Linked DNA regions of Canis lupus familiaris. The protein of the gene in region 1 purifies or fractionates together with the protein of each later gene. This does not show direct contact. Links are inferred from orthologs where the notes say so. Each region holds a gene or a part of one and is shown in the gene's direction. Other genes may lie near its edges.

What was found. Proteins that work in one complex are often made in the same cells at the same time.
Region 2: the proteins of HDAC2 (region 1) and RB1 purify together in Homo sapiens (affinity purification with western blotting; 4 studies listed by BioGRID and IntAct, with this or other methods). This does not show direct contact. The link is inferred for Canis lupus familiaris from reciprocal best matches to the Homo sapiens genes HDAC2 and RB1.
Region 3: the proteins of HDAC2 (region 1) and EHMT2 purify together in Homo sapiens (co-immunoprecipitation; 4 studies listed by BioGRID and IntAct, with this or other methods). This does not show direct contact. The link is inferred for Canis lupus familiaris from reciprocal best matches to the Homo sapiens genes HDAC2 and EHMT2.
Region 4: the proteins of HDAC2 (region 1) and SP3 purify together in Homo sapiens (affinity purification with western blotting; 3 studies listed by BioGRID). This does not show direct contact. The link is inferred for Canis lupus familiaris from reciprocal best matches to the Homo sapiens genes HDAC2 and SP3.

Annotation. Positions count from the first base shown.
Region 1 is NC_049233.1:70,470,286-70,474,680, reverse strand, and holds part of HDAC2 (histone deacetylase 2), read left to right. Parts: intron 1-1,101; coding exon 1,102-1,214; intron 1,215-2,254; coding exon 2,255-2,372; intron 2,373-4,338; coding exon 4,339-4,395. UniProt on the Homo sapiens protein: Histone deacetylase that catalyzes the deacetylation of lysine residues on the N-terminal part of the core histones (H2A, H2B, H3 and H4).
Region 2 is NC_049243.1:3,170,831-3,175,672, reverse strand, and holds the start of RB1 (retinoblastoma-associated protein), read left to right. Parts: upstream 1-1,446; 5' UTR 1,447-1,545; coding exon 1,546-1,673; intron 1,674-2,501; exon of another isoform or gene 2,502-3,395; intron 3,396-3,844; exon of another isoform or gene 3,845-3,930; intron 3,931-4,115; coding exon 4,116-4,242; intron 4,243-4,842. UniProt on the Homo sapiens protein: Tumor suppressor that is a key regulator of the G1/S transition of the cell cycle. The hypophosphorylated form binds transcription regulators of the E2F family, preventing transcription of E2F-responsive genes.
Region 3 is NC_049233.1:1,483,981-1,488,956, reverse strand, and holds the start of EHMT2 (histone-lysine N-methyltransferase EHMT2), read left to right. Parts: upstream 1-1,580; 5' UTR 1,581-1,595; coding exon 1,596-1,875; intron 1,876-1,970; coding exon 1,971-2,189; intron 2,190-2,288; coding exon 2,289-2,539; intron 2,540-3,454; coding exon 3,455-3,539; intron 3,540-3,636; coding exon 3,637-3,677; intron 3,678-3,797; coding exon 3,798-3,953; intron 3,954-4,976. UniProt on the Homo sapiens protein: Histone methyltransferase that specifically mono- and dimethylates 'Lys-9' of histone H3 (H3K9me1 and H3K9me2, respectively) in euchromatin.
Region 4 is NC_049257.1:18,388,545-18,393,387, reverse strand, and holds the start of SP3 (transcription factor Sp3), read left to right. Parts: upstream 1-1,447; 5' UTR 1,448-1,667; coding exon 1,668-1,674; intron 1,675-2,275; coding exon 2,276-2,445; intron 2,446-2,966; coding exon 2,967-3,098; intron 3,099-4,843. UniProt on the Homo sapiens protein: Transcriptional factor that can act as an activator or repressor depending on isoform and/or post-translational modifications. Binds to GT and GC boxes promoter elements. Competes with SP1 for the GC-box promoters.

The DNA of each region.
Region 1 (4,395 bases):
ATTTCGGACTTACTTATTTAAAGACTAGAATTAATACTAAAAGTGACTTCTAATTTAATACAAGCTGTTGCAAAAGGTGCTTGTTACATTTTAAAAATAGTATGTTTTTAGGGGTTTCCTTAACCCCAAGGTAACCTTTGTTTATTATAAAAACACTGGATCTGTACCCAAAAGTATTGATTTCATTGAAATTCAATAGATGAAAATTTGTGGTTTTGGTGTTATGTCTGTTCATTTTGAATTAAATCTTAATGCATGAGTATTAATACATTGGTACATAAGATGTGACAGATAGGCTGGCACTTAACGACTTTTAATCATGAAGAAGGAGACAAAAATATTCTTACTATCTTAAAAAAAATGTCACAAGTATGTCTTATTAGAGCAAAACTTTATTTAGGACCTAAATTTTATTTAGCAAAAATTTATAGACTGTAATATGGATATGTAGAACATTTTAACTCCCGTAATGCCAACTGTAAAATATTTCTGGGATGCCAGTAAATATCAAGAAGCAATATTTGCGGGCAGCCCAGGTGGCTCAGCGGTTTAGCGCCTGCCTTCAACCCAGGGTGTGATCCTGGAGACCCCGGATCGCGACCCACGTCAGGCTTCCTGCGTGGAGCCTGCTTCTCCCTCTGCCTGTGTCTCTGCCTCTCTCTCTCTCTCTCTCATGAATAAATAAATAAAATCTTTTAAAAAAAAAGCAATATTTGCTGTAAAATGTTTAAATAACAATGAAACTCAGAATTTGCTTTAGGCGTCTGAATTTGTCCATAAATACAAAAAATTAATTTTCAAATTTAAGTAACTAAAACTACTGTTATAAGTATTTTATTAGGGCTAATCCTAAATAAATTTTGGCAAACTGAAAATCTGAAAAGCTTGCTTGCTTTTAATCTCTAATAAACGTGTATTAATGAAGTTACCACAGTTAACGTAACCCAGTATCTTGGCTTTCTAGTACAGTTTGAAAATTGAAAGATCTGAGATCATTTCAAGTTTTAAATCTTGATTAGGTGGTAAGTGCCTTGTGATGATGAACACACATAAATTTAGACTGTAAAGATTCTCTATTCAGTTGTCTTTTTTCTATTTTAGGTGATATTGGAAATTACTATTATGGACAGGGTCATCCCATGAAACCTCATAGAATCCGCATGACCCATAACTTGCTGCTAAATTATGGCTTATATAGAAAAATGGAAATATACGTAAGTATACCTTTTGGTAAATATTCAGTGTTGTTTTTTTTTTTTTTAATCTACTTTGAAATTATTAATCCCCTTAAATGGCGTTTAGCAGATGAAAACAAACTCTGGAAGAAAACAAACTCTTTTTGTTTTAATCTTCAGAGAAAACAGTGTGGGAATGGTTTTTAACCCTCTTACTCGACCATTTTTCAAAAGTTTCTCATATCCCACCTTTTCACATTTTGGCCAACAACTCAGTTTAGCAAACTAAATATCTTTGTTGCAATAGTGGTTTACTTGGCTGTGCTGCTGAAGAGTTGACTATTACAGAAGAATTATGTAGGAAATTCTACAAATACTTACTGACATATGGAGCAGTGTATTAGTGGATGTGTACAGTACAGCTAACATTTAGGATACACCTACCTTAAGTGCTTTTGCACTAATGTGGAAGTATATGTAAACAAATGCAAGACACAGTTCTTGCCTGTTTGGGGAGAAAAGAAAGACTTGAAACAGTTACTAGTATTGAGTATATATGAGTTACTTTTTTCAGATAACAAATATTTACAGGAAAGGAGGGGTTGGATTATATACTTTCTGGAAGCCTCCTGGGAAAAGTGTGTTAAAAATGAAATTGAGCTCTTGGGAATAAGGATAATTAGGATAGGCAAAGGAAAGGAAGAGATTGTGAACAAAGACTTAAAATTGAGCTTGAGTCTCAGTCTCACTTGATACAGAGCAGACGGTTTATGATGGAAAGTGAGAGTTCCTGAACAGATTCAACTTTATAAGCATTGACCCATTTCCACTGCAATAAAAGGAATGTATAATTGGGGTCAGACCTGTCTAATGGCTTTAAAGGAGTAGGAATTAGCTTTGGAATTGATTACTCATTTCTAAGAAATACACGTATAAATTTGGATTCACTTTGGAATTTATTTTCTGGCAGAGCTAGTTCTTCTGAGAGGATTGTTAGGGGAAATTGTGTACGTGGTGTTTGATGACTCTGATGTAACCAGTTGTGGCTCCACCATTCTGACATTTGTTTTTCTTCACAGAGGCCCCACAAAGCCACTGCTGAAGAAATGACAAAATACCACAGTGATGAGTACATCAAATTTCTACGTTCAATAAGACCAGATAACATGTCTGAGTATAGTAAGCAGATGCAGAGATGTACGTTTCTATGTTAAAAGTCTATGTTAATCTTACTAAGGATCAGTGAGTATTTTCTAGAAGCATATCATTAGAATATCCACATGTAGGTGTTCCGCCTGAGGAAGATACTTCCTTAGTTAATTACTGGTTTGAAAAGTCAATGTAAAAATTAAAAATACTAAAACTGCTTTAAAAAAAACAACAAAAAAAACCAGGCGCCTGGGTAGCTCAGTTGACTCACTGATGCTGAGCTCGAGGCTTGCGTCGGCCTCCGCACCCAGCACAGTCAGGTCCCTCTCTCCCCCTGCTTGTGGGTGCGCCCTCACGCGGACCTGAGCACTTTCTCTCCCAGAAAGAAGGAAAGAAAATCGTAAAACCCAAAACAAAATCTACCCGAAGCCTGAGCTCTTGGGAATAAGGATAATTAAGATATCCATCTGCCAGACGGCCCAAGAGCTGTCTGGATGTTCCTCTAGTCTTTGTTTTGGTCCCATGTTACCTTGGGGATGATGGGTATTGGTGGGGAGACCTTACTTCCCTGCCTTTTTAAAAAAAAAAAAGTCTACTTGGATTGGCCTTAGCTTGGTGTATGTACGGATCTCTTACCTCTCTTTGTGTGTTTTAGTTAATCTGGATTGTTAATACATAATCTGTTCCATTTGTTAGTGAAGCTTCTTCTACGTGATTTTGATTTTGATTTTCTTCTACGTGATACTCTCTTTTATAGATACGTGTTTTGTTATTAGCGGTTGCCTGGCTTGAAAGTGGAATGAGAAATGTCTTAAAATGATTGAAACAGTTTTTTTTTTTAAAGCATGATACTGAAGTTCATTCTCATCAGCAGTTCTGTTCTCTCATGAATAAATAAATAAAATCTTTTAAAAAAAAGCAATATTTGCTGTAAAATGTTTAAATAACAATGATTTTAAAATCACTTCAGTGATTTTTTTTGAGAAGAACAATTTCAGATACTAAATTAGGTGTAGTGGCTTGATAAGTTATACATTCATAGAACTTTGTACCCATTTCTACCTTAGATTATTTCATTTACTCAATAAAATGCTATAATGCATGTAGAACATATTTTTTATACCTTTTTTTTGGATACAGGTTCAGGCTTAGATTAAAAGTCCTGTGTAGATAGGGCAAATGAATTAACAGGATTGATTTAATACATAATACTGAATTATATTAAGATTATGATTATATTTAAATAGTAAGAAACTAAAAGCTGTTCATTATCATGCTAATAAACTAAAGGTATACAAAGCTATGTAAAATAATTACCCTTATTTTTGAAGAGGTTATAATTGGGGTGGGAAGAGGCTGCGAATGGGTCATGTACATAAATAATATGTCCCTTTAATCCTGTCAGTACTGAGGAACTAAATATATTGCAATGTGTCATGTACCCGTGTTGTTTCCTTGTGCTTTACCCCTTCCTTCTATGTCTTGGCTGCTCCGAACCTAGTTAATTCTTACCATCCTTTAAGATTGGGTAGGCAGCCAGCTGCTTTGTCTTTTTAGTACTCACTAAAATATATTTCAAAGTTATGGATGTTCTGTGCATTTAAGGAGTTTTAGAAAAAGTAAATCATAAAGGAATTAAAGTTTTTTAAGTTTTTTAGAACCTTGATTAATTTGTTGTATGTTTTAGGAGAAATGCCTAATATTTAAGTGCGTGTTTTAATTTAAATAATTCAAATACCTTTTATATTTTGGTGGCTATTGATCTTCTGATAATAGAGCTGAGATTTTCTACAAATTATCCTGGTAGGATTTGGTGGTGATGTTTTACATATAACCCTTGAAATTACCTTGGATAAAATGATTAATTATATTTTTAAATAGCAAACTTTAGATTTATACTGTGATGTGTGATCCGTGATTACATCATATAAAAATATTTGTAAGGAATAGTTTTTGTAAGAAAAAACTTCATTAATTCGTAGAATGGATTGTAACTGAAATCCGTCTTTCACAGTTAATGTTGGAGAAGACTGTCCAGTGTTTGATGGACTCTTTGAGTTTTGCCAGCTCT
Region 2 (4,842 bases), on another chromosome or scaffold:
GGATTTATTTATTTGTTTGTTTGTTTGCTTATTTATTTATTTTCAAATCCTCTGACCCCCCATCCGCTCCCTAACGCTGGGCGGATTCACCCATCTGGGGAAGACCAAAGCACCGATTTCAAAGGGTTGTTCTGAGGCTGGCGATCACTGGTTGAGGCCCAGCACGCGCCGGGCACACAGTGGGCGCTCGTCCCGCGTGGGCCGGGCCGGGCCGGGCGGGCCGGGCGGGCTTGCATTCATTCAGCTGCCGCTTTTTCTCTGAAAATGCCCCTTACAGTTTGCCGGCCCCTCCCGGTTCTGTGCGCGCGCGCGCGGTTTTTAAAACTTCGTTTACGGGGCAGCCCGGGCGGGGGTGGGGGGTGGCTCACCAGCGCGTGACCCCGGGGTCCCGGGTTCGAGTCCCGCGTCGGGTCCCCGCGTGGAGCCTGCTTCTCCCTCTGCCTGGGTCTCTGCGTCTCTCTCTCTCTGTGTCTCTCATGAATAAATAAATAAAATATTAAATACAATCCTGACTTAAAAAAAGATGAAAGTTCATTTACTCCCGAGGGACACCCGGAGAGGGCGATGCTCGGACGCGGGACGGCGGGCGGCGCCTGCGGGGGGCACCGGGGGCCGCGGCGGGCGGGCGCTCAGGTCCTCACCGGCTCTGCCCCCGGCCCCGTCTGCGCGCGCAGGTCCCGGAGGGCGGCCGTGCTTCGCCCCGCGCGTCCCGCCGTCTCCCGGCGTCGCCAGCGTTCGCGGCCCGGGGGGCTCCGCAGACGGTTGTTTTTGTTTTGGCGGATCCGGCGGGGCGGATTGGGCGGGAGCGGGAGCGGGGGCGGGGCGGGGAGGGGCGAGGGGGCGGGGCGGGGAGCGGAGGGCGGTCGGGGACGGGGGGACGGGGAGACGGGGAGAAGGGGAGAGGGGGTCGCAGCGCGGAGGGGGCGGGGACGCGGGGGAGGCTCGGCGGGGGCGAGCCGGAGGTCGCGGGGCGGTGGGAGGGCGCGGACGCGGGTCGCGGGGGGGCGGCGCGGAGGGGGCGGGGAGGGGCGGGGAGGGGAGGGGGCGCGGCGGGGCGGGGCGGAGGCGGCGGGAGGGCGCGGCGCGCGGCGGGGTGTCGCGGGGCGGGGGGGCGCGGCGGGGCGTGCCCCCGGGGTGCGCTCGCTAGATACGGCGCCGCCGCCGCCCGCCGCCGGAGCGGGGCCCAGGGCGGCGGGGGTCGGGCCCGCGCCGGGAGAGGCGAGCGCGTCCCGGGGGCCGCGGGGGTGCAGGCCCCGCCCGCCGCGCGCCCGCCGCCGCCCCGCGCCCCCGGAGCGCCCCGTCCGTCCCGCCGCCGGCGGCCCCGGAGCTCGCGGACGTGACGCCGCGGGCGGAAGTGACGTTTTCGCGCGGCTGGCCCGGCGCTCGGTGGGCGGCGGGAGGAGGGCTCGTGGGCTCCGCCGGGCGCCGCTCCCCGGGTCTGCGCGCAGCGGGGCGGCCCCGAGGTGCGCCCCCCGCCCCGCCCCGCCCCGCCCCGCCGCGCCGCGCCGCGCCGCGCCCCGCCCCGCCGCCGGCCCGCGGACAGCCATGCCGCCCAAAGCCCCCCGGAGGGCCGCCGCCGCCGCCGCCGAAGCCCCGCCGCCGCCGCCGCCGCCGCCGCCGCCCGAGGAGGACCCGGCGCAGGACAGCGGCCCCGACGACCCGCCTCTGCCCGGGTGAGCCCAGAGCGGCGGGGGCGGGCGCGGGCGCGGGCGGGGGCCGGGGCGGGCGCGGTGTCGGCGGGGGCCGGGCGCCGGCTTGACAGGTGTCGGGCGGGGGGGGGTCGGGCGCCCGCGCCCGGTGACAGGTGCCGCCGCCGCGCCCGCGGACACGGAGCCGGCGGCCGACGCGGCGGGGGACGGGCGGCCTCCCGCGGACACGGCGGCGGCGACGCGGCTCCAGGCCTCGGCACCGGGCAAGCCCCGCGACGCGCCCCGCTGGAGCGCCGCTGCCTGCCTCCGCTCCCTCTCCGTGGTCCCCCTGCACAGCCTCGGTATCCGTCTTCGGCGCTTTGCAGCGCTTCTTCCATTTTGCCTTCCAGCCCGGACACATCCTCGCGCCTGCTCTTGTTTTGTTTCGCTTGGGCTGCAGAGTTCGTGAGCTGCCCGTGCTCACAGCACACTTCTCCCCCCCCCCCCCCCCCCCAGCACCAGCACCGCCACCAGCACCAGCACCAGCACCACCAGCACCAGCACCAGCACCACCCGCACCACCACCAGCGCCACCACCAGCACCAGCACCACCAAGTGGTCTCTAAATTTAGGCGACTACTGTGATAATACAGTAGAACGTGACAGGGAGGACTTATTCTGTTGCAGCATCCTATTTTTCACGATCGTGGTACTTTATGGTTAAGAACCTAAGACTGAAAGACTATGATTGCCATTATTTTTGCCAGTCCTGGTTCCACCACTCTGAGAGTACCTGTTTTTTGTTTTGTTTTGTTTTGTTTTGTTTGAGAATGGGATTGCTTTCTTTTCCTCACCGCTTCCTCACCTGTTCTAGTCCATTACTAAGCCCTATTCTTTGAACTTGCTAGACACTAACAGGGTTCAGATAGATTGTGAACGATTGGAATGGGCTTCTGGGATGGCCTGTGAAAAGCTGTTAAAAATACATATGTTGAAATGGGTTGTCTTACAGGTCAGTTAAAAATCACACTCGCTAATTGGGGGGAAAAACAGTCAAGCTGTTCTGAAAGCAAATTTAATTTCTGATTAAGCTCTGTTGTGTCCAGTACTTGAACGTTTTCATTTGGAAAAAGCAGTAAATCTACTCTATAAAGAGTTCCATGTTTACCACGGAGCTTTGGAAGCGTCCTCTGGATTATTGTAGGGTAACCAGAAATATTCAAATTAGGGCCCCCACCTGGGAAAAGAAGGCCTTTCTTCCCCACCCCAACATTGCATTATTTACTTTTAAATGATGGAACTATAAAAAATTTTCCTGTAAGTAAAACCATACAGGATACACTCCACTCTTGATTAACCATACCCCCCGAAAGGTTTTGCTAGTACGGGCAGTTGAACTGTGTAGACTAGCTGCTTAGCAAGGGTGAAACTAGTGCCTGGCAATCCAAAGCCAAGCGTCCTGCTTAGGGATGGATTCAGGGCCCGCTCCACCTGCATTTTCAGTGATGGAATCTGTCTGTACCTTGAAGCTGAGATCTTCTCTCTGTTGCATTATATCTGGCCTAAGTGGGAATGTTGGAAGGGAAACCTTCACTAGGAGCAAGAGTGCACCCTCCTTGTTGACATGATCAAAGTTAATTACGCTCTGAAGGAGGTTTACCAGTCTGGCATAGTGGTCAAGGGCATGGATCATGGAGTTAGACTTGGGTTTCCCACTTACTGGCCATGTCCTCAAGTGAGTCCTTTAACTTCTTATTTGGTACTTGTCTGTAAAACAAGGATAAGAGTACTTATCTAGTAGGCCCATGTGTGGATTCCACTGAAACTATACATTTAAGATACTTTATTCACACAGGCTCAGAGTAAATACTCAAAAATTATTAGCTATTCCTTATATTATTATTAGGTGTCAAATAGACATTAAGAGAATGAAAGGGAGCTAGCCAACAAGAAACTATTGACTACCTATCTTGGGTAAGGAAGATCGAAGAGAAAAGGCTGAAATAAGAATAGCAGGAATTCATGTTAAGTTTCTTATTACGTGAGAAATGCTTATAGGTAGAGAGATTATATGAGACGTTGATAAGCGTAGACTGCATTTTAGCAAAATTGCTGATACTAAATTGATTCTGCAATATCATAAATGGGCTTTCTTCTTTTTGCTCTTATTGTCATCCCGCTTTTCCCATACAGCGTTAGCTATCATACTTACTTACTTTTCCAAAGCTATTTTGCTGTTCTGGTGTGTATGTGATTCAGGCCAACAAACATCTTTCACTGTGTTGTATATTTGTTGGAAGGACTATGAAAAAAATAAACATTTAAATTCTGTAATTTTTTTTCAAAGATAAATAAGATTTTAAAGTACTTAGTAATGCCTTTTTTCAGAATAATGATGTTTGTTATATGCAAACCATTGAAGCAAATGTTTACTTTTAGTTTGATTTCTAAATATATCCCCATTATATGTCTGTTTTTATCTGGTAGGCTTGTGTTTGAAGAAACCGAAGAACCCGATTTTACTGCATTATGTCAGAAATTAAAGATACCAGATCATGTCAGAGAAAGAGCTTGGTTAACTTGGGAGAAAGTTTCATCTGTGGATGGAGTATTGGTAAGGATTTCTTTAACATTTTTTGAAGAAAACTTTCTCATTATTTTTTAAAAAAGATTTTATGTATTTGATAAACAGAAAGAGAGCCTGAACATGGGGAGGGGTAGAGGGAAAGGAAGACAGAGAATCTCAAGGAGATTCTCTGCTGAGCACAGAGCCCCATGTAGGGCTCGATCTGAGGACCCTGAGATATGACCTGAGCCAAAACCAAGAGTCAAATGCTCAACTGACTGAGCCACTCAAGTGCCCCCCAATTTTCTCAATTAAAAAATGATTTTGAATTACTATAGATAACTTGGAAAATAGAAAAATATAAAGAAAAGAAAAGCTAGTAATAATTTTGTTACCCAGAGGTAAATAACTCTGATAGTGTTAAAAATATCCCCACGTAACCCCCCAAAGTATTTTTCCCCCAAAGTACTTTGAAGCAAATCTTAGATATCATATGCATACGTACTTCACTCAGATGCAAAAATTTTTTAAAAACAAAGCCATACCTTATAATTTTTAATATCTTACAATATGTAGTGTTCAAAATTTGATTGTTTTAGAATTAGAATTAGTTTTGCTAGAATTTACAGTCTTTGATAGCGTTTGATA
Region 3 (4,976 bases), about 69 Mb from region 1:
TCCACGATTGGTAGTGGTGATAACTCACGACTTCCCCATCTATCACGAGAGTTTGGTATCAGTGCTAGGGATGAACTATAAAGGTGATCATTATACCCACCAAAATTTTAAGCAGGAGCCTATGTTTGGGCATTTATGTTCTGAGAAAAGGGTTCATGTCCTGGGAAAGCCAGAAAAAAAAAAAAAAAAAAAAGTTTGGATTAGGGCATGGGGAAGACTACAAGTCCCACAAAGCTCTGAATAGTTCTTAACCAAAGAGAACTACAGTTCCCAGAAGGCCTTGAATTGGCCTCAGGTGCCCTGGAGCCAAACCACGGACCTCTACCAAATACTGCGCGTGAGATCTTACAGGGTTTTTTCCAAACTTTGACCAGAATATAATACCCAAAGGGATGGTACCCTAAATAATGCTATCAAGGTTTTTATCTCGGTGTAATATCATTCATACTTCCTCTGTCAACTGGGCTTATGACCCACGGAATGCCTAGGCTTGCGACCAAAAAAAGGCTCCTTAGTATAGTGTACTCAGCAGGCGGTGATGACTGTGGAGCCTCTGGGGGTTACTCAGGTCCCCGGTGCACTTGGTGCCTTAGCATACCCGGCTCAAACAGAAGGGACCCTGAGCCCCGGGTTCAGGAGAGGACGCTGCTCCTGCCGGTACGAAGCAGTCGAGAGCACCGGTGTCCTCCATGCGTTCCCGCTGCCCCCTTCCTGCTCGGGGGAGAAGCGAGGCCGACACTTGCTACCCGGAGACCCAGAAACTAGAGCGCACCGAGGCGGGAGAAGCAGACGCGGGCCTCCTCGGGAAGATAGCCGCCGCGAGCCGGGACGCTCAGACGCCGCTCTCGTTACCTACGGACAGGCGGGGCACGGAGGGGCCACCCCGGCCAGGCGTGCCTCGCCTTCGGCTCCCCGCGCAGCCGACGCCCGCAGCGGCGGGAACGCGCCCCCGAAGCCCCCAGCTTAGGGCAGCCGCTGCCACCGCCGAGGCCGCTCCCGGCGTGGGGGGAGATGGCCAGAAAGCGCGCCGTGGCTCCTTTAAGGCCCCTCCTCGCCCCCCCTCCCCGCCCACGTGACCCGGGGCGGCCGCGCGCCGGCTCGGCCCCCCGCGCAAGCGGCGATGGCGGCGGCGGCGGGAGCTGCAGCGGCGGCGGCCGCCGAGGTGCGGAAGGGGAGGGGGAGAGGCGGGTGCATGCCCGCGCGCGCGCCCGGGGGAAGCGCGCGCCCGTGCAATGCTCCGGGGGTGCAACGGGGCCGGGGGGCCCGGACGAGACCTACAGCAATCCGGAGGGCCAGCACCGGGGGCGGATGAGGGGACCAGGGGGTGGGAGGTGGGGGGAGTGGGCACGGAGGCGCGCGTGCAGCCGCCGGCTGCCCCCGAGTGGGCAGCGGGAGCCGGGGCCCCAGGAGCGCGCGCGAGGGGCACGAGGGGCCGTCCGCCGGGCTGGGGAGCGGCGGGCGCTGGAGGGGTTGGTGCCCGGGGTCCCCGCGGCCTGGGGGACAAAGGGGGAGCGGCGCGTGCAGCCGGGAGGAGGGGGCGGGGCCGGGGCGCAGAGGCCCCGCCCCCTCCCCCTCCTCTTTTCCAGGCCCCAGAGATGCGGGGTCTGCCGAGAGGGAGGGGGCTGATGCGGGCCCGGGGGAGGGGTCGTGCGGCCCCCCAGGGCAGCCGAGGCCGCGGACGGGGGGGCCCCCATCGAGGAAGAGGTAGGCCCCGGAGCCTACTCTCTCTTCCCAGAGCCCAGGCGTCCTGGGCTCCCCAACTTCCTAGCGGGCTGACCAGCCCTCCTATACCTTGTGTCCCCTGCCAGGGGGAGGCCCCTGCTGAGATGGGGGCGCTGGTGCTGGAGAAGGAGCCCAGAGGAGCCTCTGAGAGAGGTGAGTGCGGCTGAACAGGCCCAGCTGGACCTTCACCTCCCCCAACACAGGATTCCCCGAGACCTTAGCCCTGAACTTTTTCTTTCCCCTTACAGTTCACGGCTCTTTGGGGGACACCCCTCGTGGTGAGGAGACCCTGCCCAAGTCCAGCCCTGACTCCCTGGAGCCTGCTGGCCCCTCATCCCCAGCCTCTGTCACAGTCACCGTGGGTGATGAGGGGGCTGACACCCCCCTAGGAGCCACACCGCTCATTGGGGATGAACCTGAGAATCTGGAGGGAGATGGGGACCTCCACGGGAGCCGAATCCTGCTGGGTGAGAGGCTGGGGAGTCAGGGGCCTGGGGGGCAGAGGGGGGGTATCCTCTGATTACCTCTCGTCTTACCTTGTTTCTGTCTGCCTATTTGTCTTCCAGGCCATGCCACAAAGTCATTCCCCTCTTCCCCCAGCAAGGGGGGTGCCTGTCCCAGCCGCGCCAAGATGTCAATGACAGGCGCAGCAAAATCACCCCCCTCAGTCCAGAGTTTGGCTATGCGGCTGCTGAGTATGCCGGGAGCCCAGGGGGCAGCAGCGGGGCCTGAACCCCCTGCAGCCACACCCAGCCCAGAGGGGCAGCCCAAGGTCCACCGAGCCAGAAAAACCATGTCCAAACCAGGAAATGGGCAGGTGAGAATGAGGGGGAGGGGTGGAGGTGGGGAGACCCAGGTAACCCACTGTGTACCCCTTGTGGACTTTTTTTTTTTTTTTTTTTTTTTTTTTTTACAGTTTAGCTTCAGACTTTTTCTCATCCCTTCAGGGCTCGCCATACTTACCTAGGGGCTACTGTGTGTCAGATTCTGGGCTGGGCTTGATCTGAACAGACAGACAAGTTTATATTCTTGGGGAGAGGGGAGTTGTAAAAAAGGTTAGAGGGGCACTTGGGTGGTTCAGTGGTTTAAGCATCTGGCTCGGGTCATGATCCTGGATCTAGTCCCACATCAGGGAGCCTGCTTCTCTGCCTCTGTTGCTGCCTCTTTTTGTCTCTCAGGAATAAATAAGTAAAATCTTTAAAAATAAAAAAAGGTTAGAGGATTACTGTTGTAGTTAATTGTCCCAATTATTCTTATGATAATGACTAAGGAACTTCTAACTTGCTTTCTACCTCAAAGCAAGCCCCAAGGGAGCTTTTTCCCTCCCTTTGAAACTCCCCCTGCTTCCTTTTTCAAAGGGCTTCTAAGGATTTTACTGTGACTCCCTACAGGGAAGGAGGGTGAGGGAAAGGACAAAAAGCCCCAGAATTTCAGAAGCTTTGTGACAGTGTTTTTGGGGGTTTGGGTATGGTTTAGGTAGCTTTGGGCAAGGCACAAACCTATTTTCTCATCTGTAAAATGGGTAAAGAGGGCCCGCTCCTTCGGGTGAGTGAAAAGGTGAGTGTTAGGTGTGGAATGTGCCTCATACCCTTCTTCTCGAGAGACAGCACTTCTTGTGATTGCCACATTCTGGCTTACTGGAGCTTCAGGTGACATTTTTGAGGGTGTGGCTCACCCTTGACTGAATGCAAATGCTCCCTGACCCTAAAGTGTGCTCCCTCTCTGCCACTAGCCTCCTGTCCCAGAGAAGCGGCCCCCTGAAGTGCAGCATTTCCGCATGAGTGATGACTTGCACTCGCTGGGGAAGATGACCTCAGGTCAGCGCCACCCCCACACCCCACCCACCTGCCACCTGATAAATCTTGTCCGGAGGGTCGAAGAACCAGCCTTATTCCTTTCTCTCTCTCCTTCCAGATGTGGCCAAAAGGAGGAAGCTGAACTCTGGAGGTGGCCTGGTGAGCCTAGAGAGGCTGAAGACAAGGCCTCTCCACCTGGGGGGGGCTGCATCCTGCCCTCAAGGGAAATGGTTGGGAAGGGAAGTACCAGCAGCTTCCATTTTTCTGATCTTTTCCTAGTCGGAGGAGTTGGGTTCTGCACGGGGTTCAGGAGAAGTGACCATGGAGAAAGGGGACCCAGGGTCCCTGGAGGAGTGGGAGACAGTGGTGGGGGATGACTTCAGCCTCTACTACGACTCCTACTCTGTGGATGAGCGTGTGGACTCTGACAGCAAGGTGAGAAGGAGCCAGCCTACCTCTCTGCCAAGGCTCACTCTCCAGTCTTTCCCACCCACCCACCCCCTTTGTCTCTCTTTCCTTTTTACCTTGTGACACCCCCTAATTCACCTTCCCATCCTCTCTGTAACTTCCTCCCTTTGTGTGTTCCACCCCAGCCCGGCCCCTCGCCCCTCTCCATTGTGGTAACCACCATCCTGGACTTTGGGTTTAGCATCCCATTTTGGTTTTGGGTTTTTTTTTTGTTTTTAAGATTTAATTTATTTATTCGTGAGAGAGACACACAGAGAGGCAGAGACACAGGTAGAGGGAGAAGCAGGCTCCACGCAGGAGCCCAATGTGGACTCGATCCCAGATCTCCAGGATCATGCCCTGGGCCAAAGGTGGCGCTAAATCGCTGAGCTACCCCGGCTGCCCCCATTTTGTTGTTTATCTGTGGTTTGTCTGTTTATTCTTTTGTTCTTAGTTTGATTTTATCTCATATGTTTGTATTTACCTATGTGACATAATGCGGTCTTCCTGACGTGCACTTTGTTTAACGTGTCAGGGAAAATTTCAGATATGCACAAAAGAGTAAATGGTGAGCCCTCATGGAGCCTCACCCTGCTCCCACAATTTTCAGGACACAGTGGCTCTTGATTCAGCTCTTCCTCCACCAACCGGCCCACCTCCCTGACTGTTTTAAAGTAGCCATCACATCATTTTATCTGGAGATGTTTCCATTTGTATCTTTAAATGTGAGACCTCTTCCTATGCTTTGATATCACTGCTTCACTGTTCGCAATCTGAAAAATGTGACTCCCGGTGACTACCAGTGACTCCCTAACACCATCACCTTGCTACTAGGGTTCATAATATGCCTTGGTGGTTTCGTAAACAGGTTTTTGTTTGTCAGATTTTCTTTTCTAAGATTTTATTTATATATTTATGAGAGACACAGAGAGAGAGGCAGAGACACAGGCGGAGGGAGAAGCAGGCTCCATGCAGGGAGCCCCATGCGGGACTCCATCCCCAGATCCAGGA
Region 4 (4,843 bases), on another chromosome or scaffold:
TTTTTTTTTTTTTTTCTGGCCATTAGATCTAGAGGTAATAGAAATGTCACAAATGCCACTTTTTTTTTTTTTTTTGGCAATTAGATCTAAAGGTAATAGAAATGTTTATTTTAAAAAATTTTTTTTAAATGTCTCTTGACAAAACATGGCTCACACAGCCTGAGCCTTCCTCCCAGATTGACAGCACGATGTCAAGGATGGAAAGGAGTGCTAAACTAACCAACTAATCCAATATGTGCAATGAGGTTTTAAATTAGAGAGTTAACTAAAATGTCCCGAGGAGGAAAAAAAAACCAAAAAAAAAACCAAAAAAAAAAAAAAAAAAACCAAACCCCAAAACAAATAACATAACTTCGCTGAGAATCCCTATTTAAAAAAAAAAATGTTGGCTGTTAATGGGCTTTTTCATTTTTTTTTTTTTTTAAATGGGCTTTTTCAGAGGTTGACCTGTAACCCAGACCATCAGGGAAGCGGAGAATAATGTATGTTTAAGCAACAAAAATGAGTTTTTAAAAATAAATTTATTTTTTATTGGTGTTCAATTTGCCAACATATAGAACAACGCCCAGGGCTCATCCCACCAAGTGCCCCCCTCGGTGCAGCAAAAATGATTTGGGCGGATTTAAAAAAAAAAAAAAAAGAATTTGTACCCCGTGGAACACAGGCACTTGCCACGTACTAAGTGAAAGAAACAGCGCGAAGGCCGGTTCCGGGGGCGTCGGGCCGGGCCGGAGGGTGTCCCCGGGGAGTGGGGCGGGCCGAGCCCCGGCGGGCCCAGCCCCGGGCTCCTCGCGCACTCGCCTGCCCCCGGGCCGGGGCCGGGGCCGGGGCCGGGGCCGGGCGCGCGGCGGCTCGGGCTGGGAAGCGCAGGGCGGACGGCGCGGAGGGAGAGTCCTCCTCCGGCCTCCCCTCCTGGAGGGGGTGTCTCCCCCAGGCCAGCTCCCTCCCCCCGGGCTCGCGGGGCGGGTCTGCGCGGCTCGGCTCGGCTCTGCTCGGAGCCGGGCGGCGGCGGCGGCGGCGGCGGCAGGAGCAGCCCCGGGGCTGAGCGGCGGCCTCCGGGCAGCGCGGGGAAGCGGCGGCTCGGCGGGCGCGGGGCCCTGGGGAGACCGGCGCGGGCTGCCGTCGGGATGGAGGACGCGTCGAGGGGAGCCGCGGCCGCCGGGGCTGGACTCCCGGCCGGGCCCCGCTCCAGGCACCCGCGAGGCGGAGGAGGCCTGCGTCCCGGGCCCGACCGCGGCGGCCGGCGAGCCAGGCGGGCGCCGCGGGGGAACGGCGGAGCCGCGGCCGCTCTCGGGAACCTGCGCCGCCGCGGCCGCTTATTGTCTCTCCCCTTCCACCCGGGGGCAAACAGGAAGCGCGCCGGCTGCCCGCGCGACGGACGGGCATGCGGGCCAATGAGCGCGGCCGACCGGGAGCGCGGCGGCGAATGGGCGCGGAGAAGAGAGGCGGGACTTCCGGGCGGGCTGTCACCCTCTTCCCCCCTTTTGGGCTGGAGGCTCCACCTTTTGTGTTTCCCGCACAGTCAATCAAAATAGGAAAAAAAAATCCCCGGACCGCTCCGGCCGTGTCCGCCGCCGCTTCCCGCATCCTCTCCCGCCGCCGCCGCCTTCGCTCCTCACCATGTGTAAGGCGGCGGGGAGCCCCGCCTGAGGTGCCCTAAACACACTATGACCGGTACGTAGAGCCGAGAGCAGCCCTTGCCGCCGCCGCCGCCGACCACAGCCAGCCCTTGCCGCCGCCGGCTCCCGGCCCGTGTGCGCGACGAGTGTCCGTGAGAGGCAGAGCCGCACTCCCCCGCCGCCTCCCTGCCCTCCCGGCCAGCCAGCGTGCCCCCCGCAGCCCCAGCAGCGCCGTGTCCCCGCCGGGCCCCGGGGCGGGCGGCCGGGCCCGCCGGGAGCGCATCCCCCCGCGTGCGGGCGCGGGCGGCGGGCGGGCGCGTGTGAGTGACTGACGGTGCGAGAGGAGCGAGCGCGAGTGAGAGCGAGCGGCGCGGAGGGAAAGGGGAGGAGAGGAGAGGAGAGGGGGCAGGGGCAGCGCGGGGAGGAGGAGGAGGAGGGAAAGAGGAGGAGGAGGAGGGTTACAGGCAGCGGCGGGCGGGGGCAGCCGCGGGAGGGGAGGAGGGAGCCGCCGCCGCCGCCGCCGGGGGGCGGGTGGGGGAGGGGAAGGGGACGCGGCCCGGGCTTTCCGAGTAATTCCGCCGCGGCCCGCGGGCCCCCTCCCTCTCCTCCACCCGCCTTCCTCCCCACCCCCACCCCCCCCCGCGCTGTGCCTGCAGCTCCCGAAAAGCCCGTGAAACAAGAGGAAATGGCTGCCTTGGACGTGGACAGCGGCGGCGGCGGCGGCAGCGGCGGCGGCCACGGCGAGTATCTGCAGCAGCAGCAGCAGCAGCAGCAGCACGGAAACGGCGCGGCGGCGGCGGCGGCGGCGGCGGCGGCGGCGGCCCAGGTGAGGAGCGGCTGAGCCCCGGCCCGGCTCCCCCCAGCGCCGCTTTCTCCTCCCCTCGCCTCTCCCCTCCCTCCGCGCCTCGCTCTCTCTCTCCTCCCCTCCCCCCGCCCCGGGAGCTGCCCGCCCGAGGCGCCAACGCTCCGACCCCGCCCGCGCTCCCCCGCCCGCCGCCTTTTTGTGAGCGTGTGTGTGTGTGTGTGTGTGAGTGTGTGCGCGCGAGTGTGAGCGTGTGCGCCCTCCCGGGGGTGGGTTCCGGGCGGAAGGTGGGGGCCCGGCGCGCAGCCCGCCGCCCGCCTTCCCTCCCGCGGACGGCGGAGCCGGTGTGCGTGCGAGCGGGAGGACGCGAGCCCGAGCCGAGGAGGAGGAGGAGGAGGAGGAGGAGGAGGAGGAGAGCGCGGGCTGGCGCTGGCCCGGGCTCAGCCTGCGAGGACCCAGGCGCACTTCCTGTGCGAGCGGCGGCCCGGCCCTAACCGCCACCCCCTCCCCCTGTCTCCCTCTCTGAACCCGCCCATCGGGGGTAGGACACTCAGCCGTCACCGCTCGCCCTGCTGGCCGCTACCTGCAGCAAGATAGGGCCGCCATCGCCGGGCGACGACGAGGAGGAGGCGGCTGCCGCAGCCGGGGCCCCCGCCGCCGCCGCCGCCGCCGGAGCGGTAAGTCTCGCGCGCGCGGCCCGCCCCCGCCGAGGCCCTGCGCCCGCCATCCCGGGCCTGCCCGGCCTCCCGCCCGGCTTCCCGCCCGCCGGGCCTCCCCGGGCCCGCGCCTTCCGCGGTGCGGCCGGGGCGCCCTCTCGGGCTCCTTGGCGTGCCCGAGCGGATCGGAGGCCGGCCCGGGCTTTCTCTAGATTGTCACTGCGGCGCCTCGATCCGAATTCACTACAAAATGAAGTCAGAGAGGGCGGGGGTAGAGGACTCCAAAATGGATGTTTGAGCAATTCATATCAGTGCCGAAAAACTCCTTCGCTGCACACTACAAAATTTTCAAGCACAGCCCTATCGGCCATAGATAGTATCAACTACAGAAGGCAGTGTCTTTAGTTCCTAGTATTTTTTTGAACCTGGGGCTTTTCCTGCTGGAACTTAACTAGATCTTAAGTGATTTAAGGCGTAAATTGCTAAAAAAGACCCCTCCCCCCCAAAAAAATAAAAAACCTCAAAACGCGGGGGAGGCATGAAGGTTTATTCTTTGGAGATTACCCTTTTGTAATGCAGCAGTGAACACTGTGAGTGGTTTTTTGGGGGGCCATTCGAAGTTGTTGGATTTTAGTTTTTGCAGACGACTTAAATTTGCGGGAATTCTTCGTAAGTGGAGTAAGTGAAACCTACATTCATTTAGCGACCGTTGAAATTGGTGAAGTTATTACTCAGATGGTACTTTGGTTTTTGAAATTGAATATGAAATACTAGCGTTGGAAACAAAAGTACATGGAAGGAATTGTGTTTACCTGCCTGTTAACGTCTACTGCCCTTACAGTTGAATTTGGTTGGCAAAGCTGTATTTTCATTTTTATTACGATTACTGGTCTGGTAAGATGTGGTGGGAATTCTGTTTGTAGTGTTTTTAGTTTGTCTGGGGGCAGGAAAGAGGACCTGGTCAGTGTGTTGTAGGAGGGCTTAATACGAATTAACTGGACCCAATTTTTAAGACTGTTAATTGTGAATTTTATCTGTTTGAATTGTGTTAAACGTGTAGATGTGTTCACATTAAAATAACAAAAAGCTCTCTCAGTCATTCTTGGTTTCTTTTGAGGTGGATTATAGAAATTGATTTATGGAGTACTATTTTGATTGGTCACTGTAGACAAAAAAGTCTGATATTTGGCATAGTCTGCAGGAAATTCTTAGTATGTCTAGGCACTAAAAGTGAAGCTACTGTTAAGCTGTATTGTTAAATACTGTATTTGTAACTTTAGTGCTTCAAACTATACTGTAGAGGGATGTGAATAGTTTTAATGTCTTAAAAGTGTTTTAGGTTTTGTGCTTTCTTAAGCTGATTAAAATGTAAAAGCATAAAATTATGTTTGTGAGAGGCATTGTTACTTTTAGACAAACTTAGGGGTTGATAAGCCTTTTTTATGAATTATCCCTCTAGCCCCACAGTGCCAAAACAAATTGACTGTTTATCTTAAAAAAACAAAAAACCAAAAACCACTGCACAAGTAAAATTACAAAGCAGATTGCTTCTACTTGTCTTTTACAATATTTTCAATTAGAACAAAAAATTTCTTGTAACTGCCATTTACCAAGTTTATATAGCTCACTGATGGGGGAGGGGGAGAGATGAAGGAGGAAGTTATGGGTGAAAAATATGTACATGTACTTGTATGTGTGAATCTCAGCCCTGGGAATAGAACACTGTCTCTGGTGTTCTATTCCTTATCCTACTGGGGTCATACACT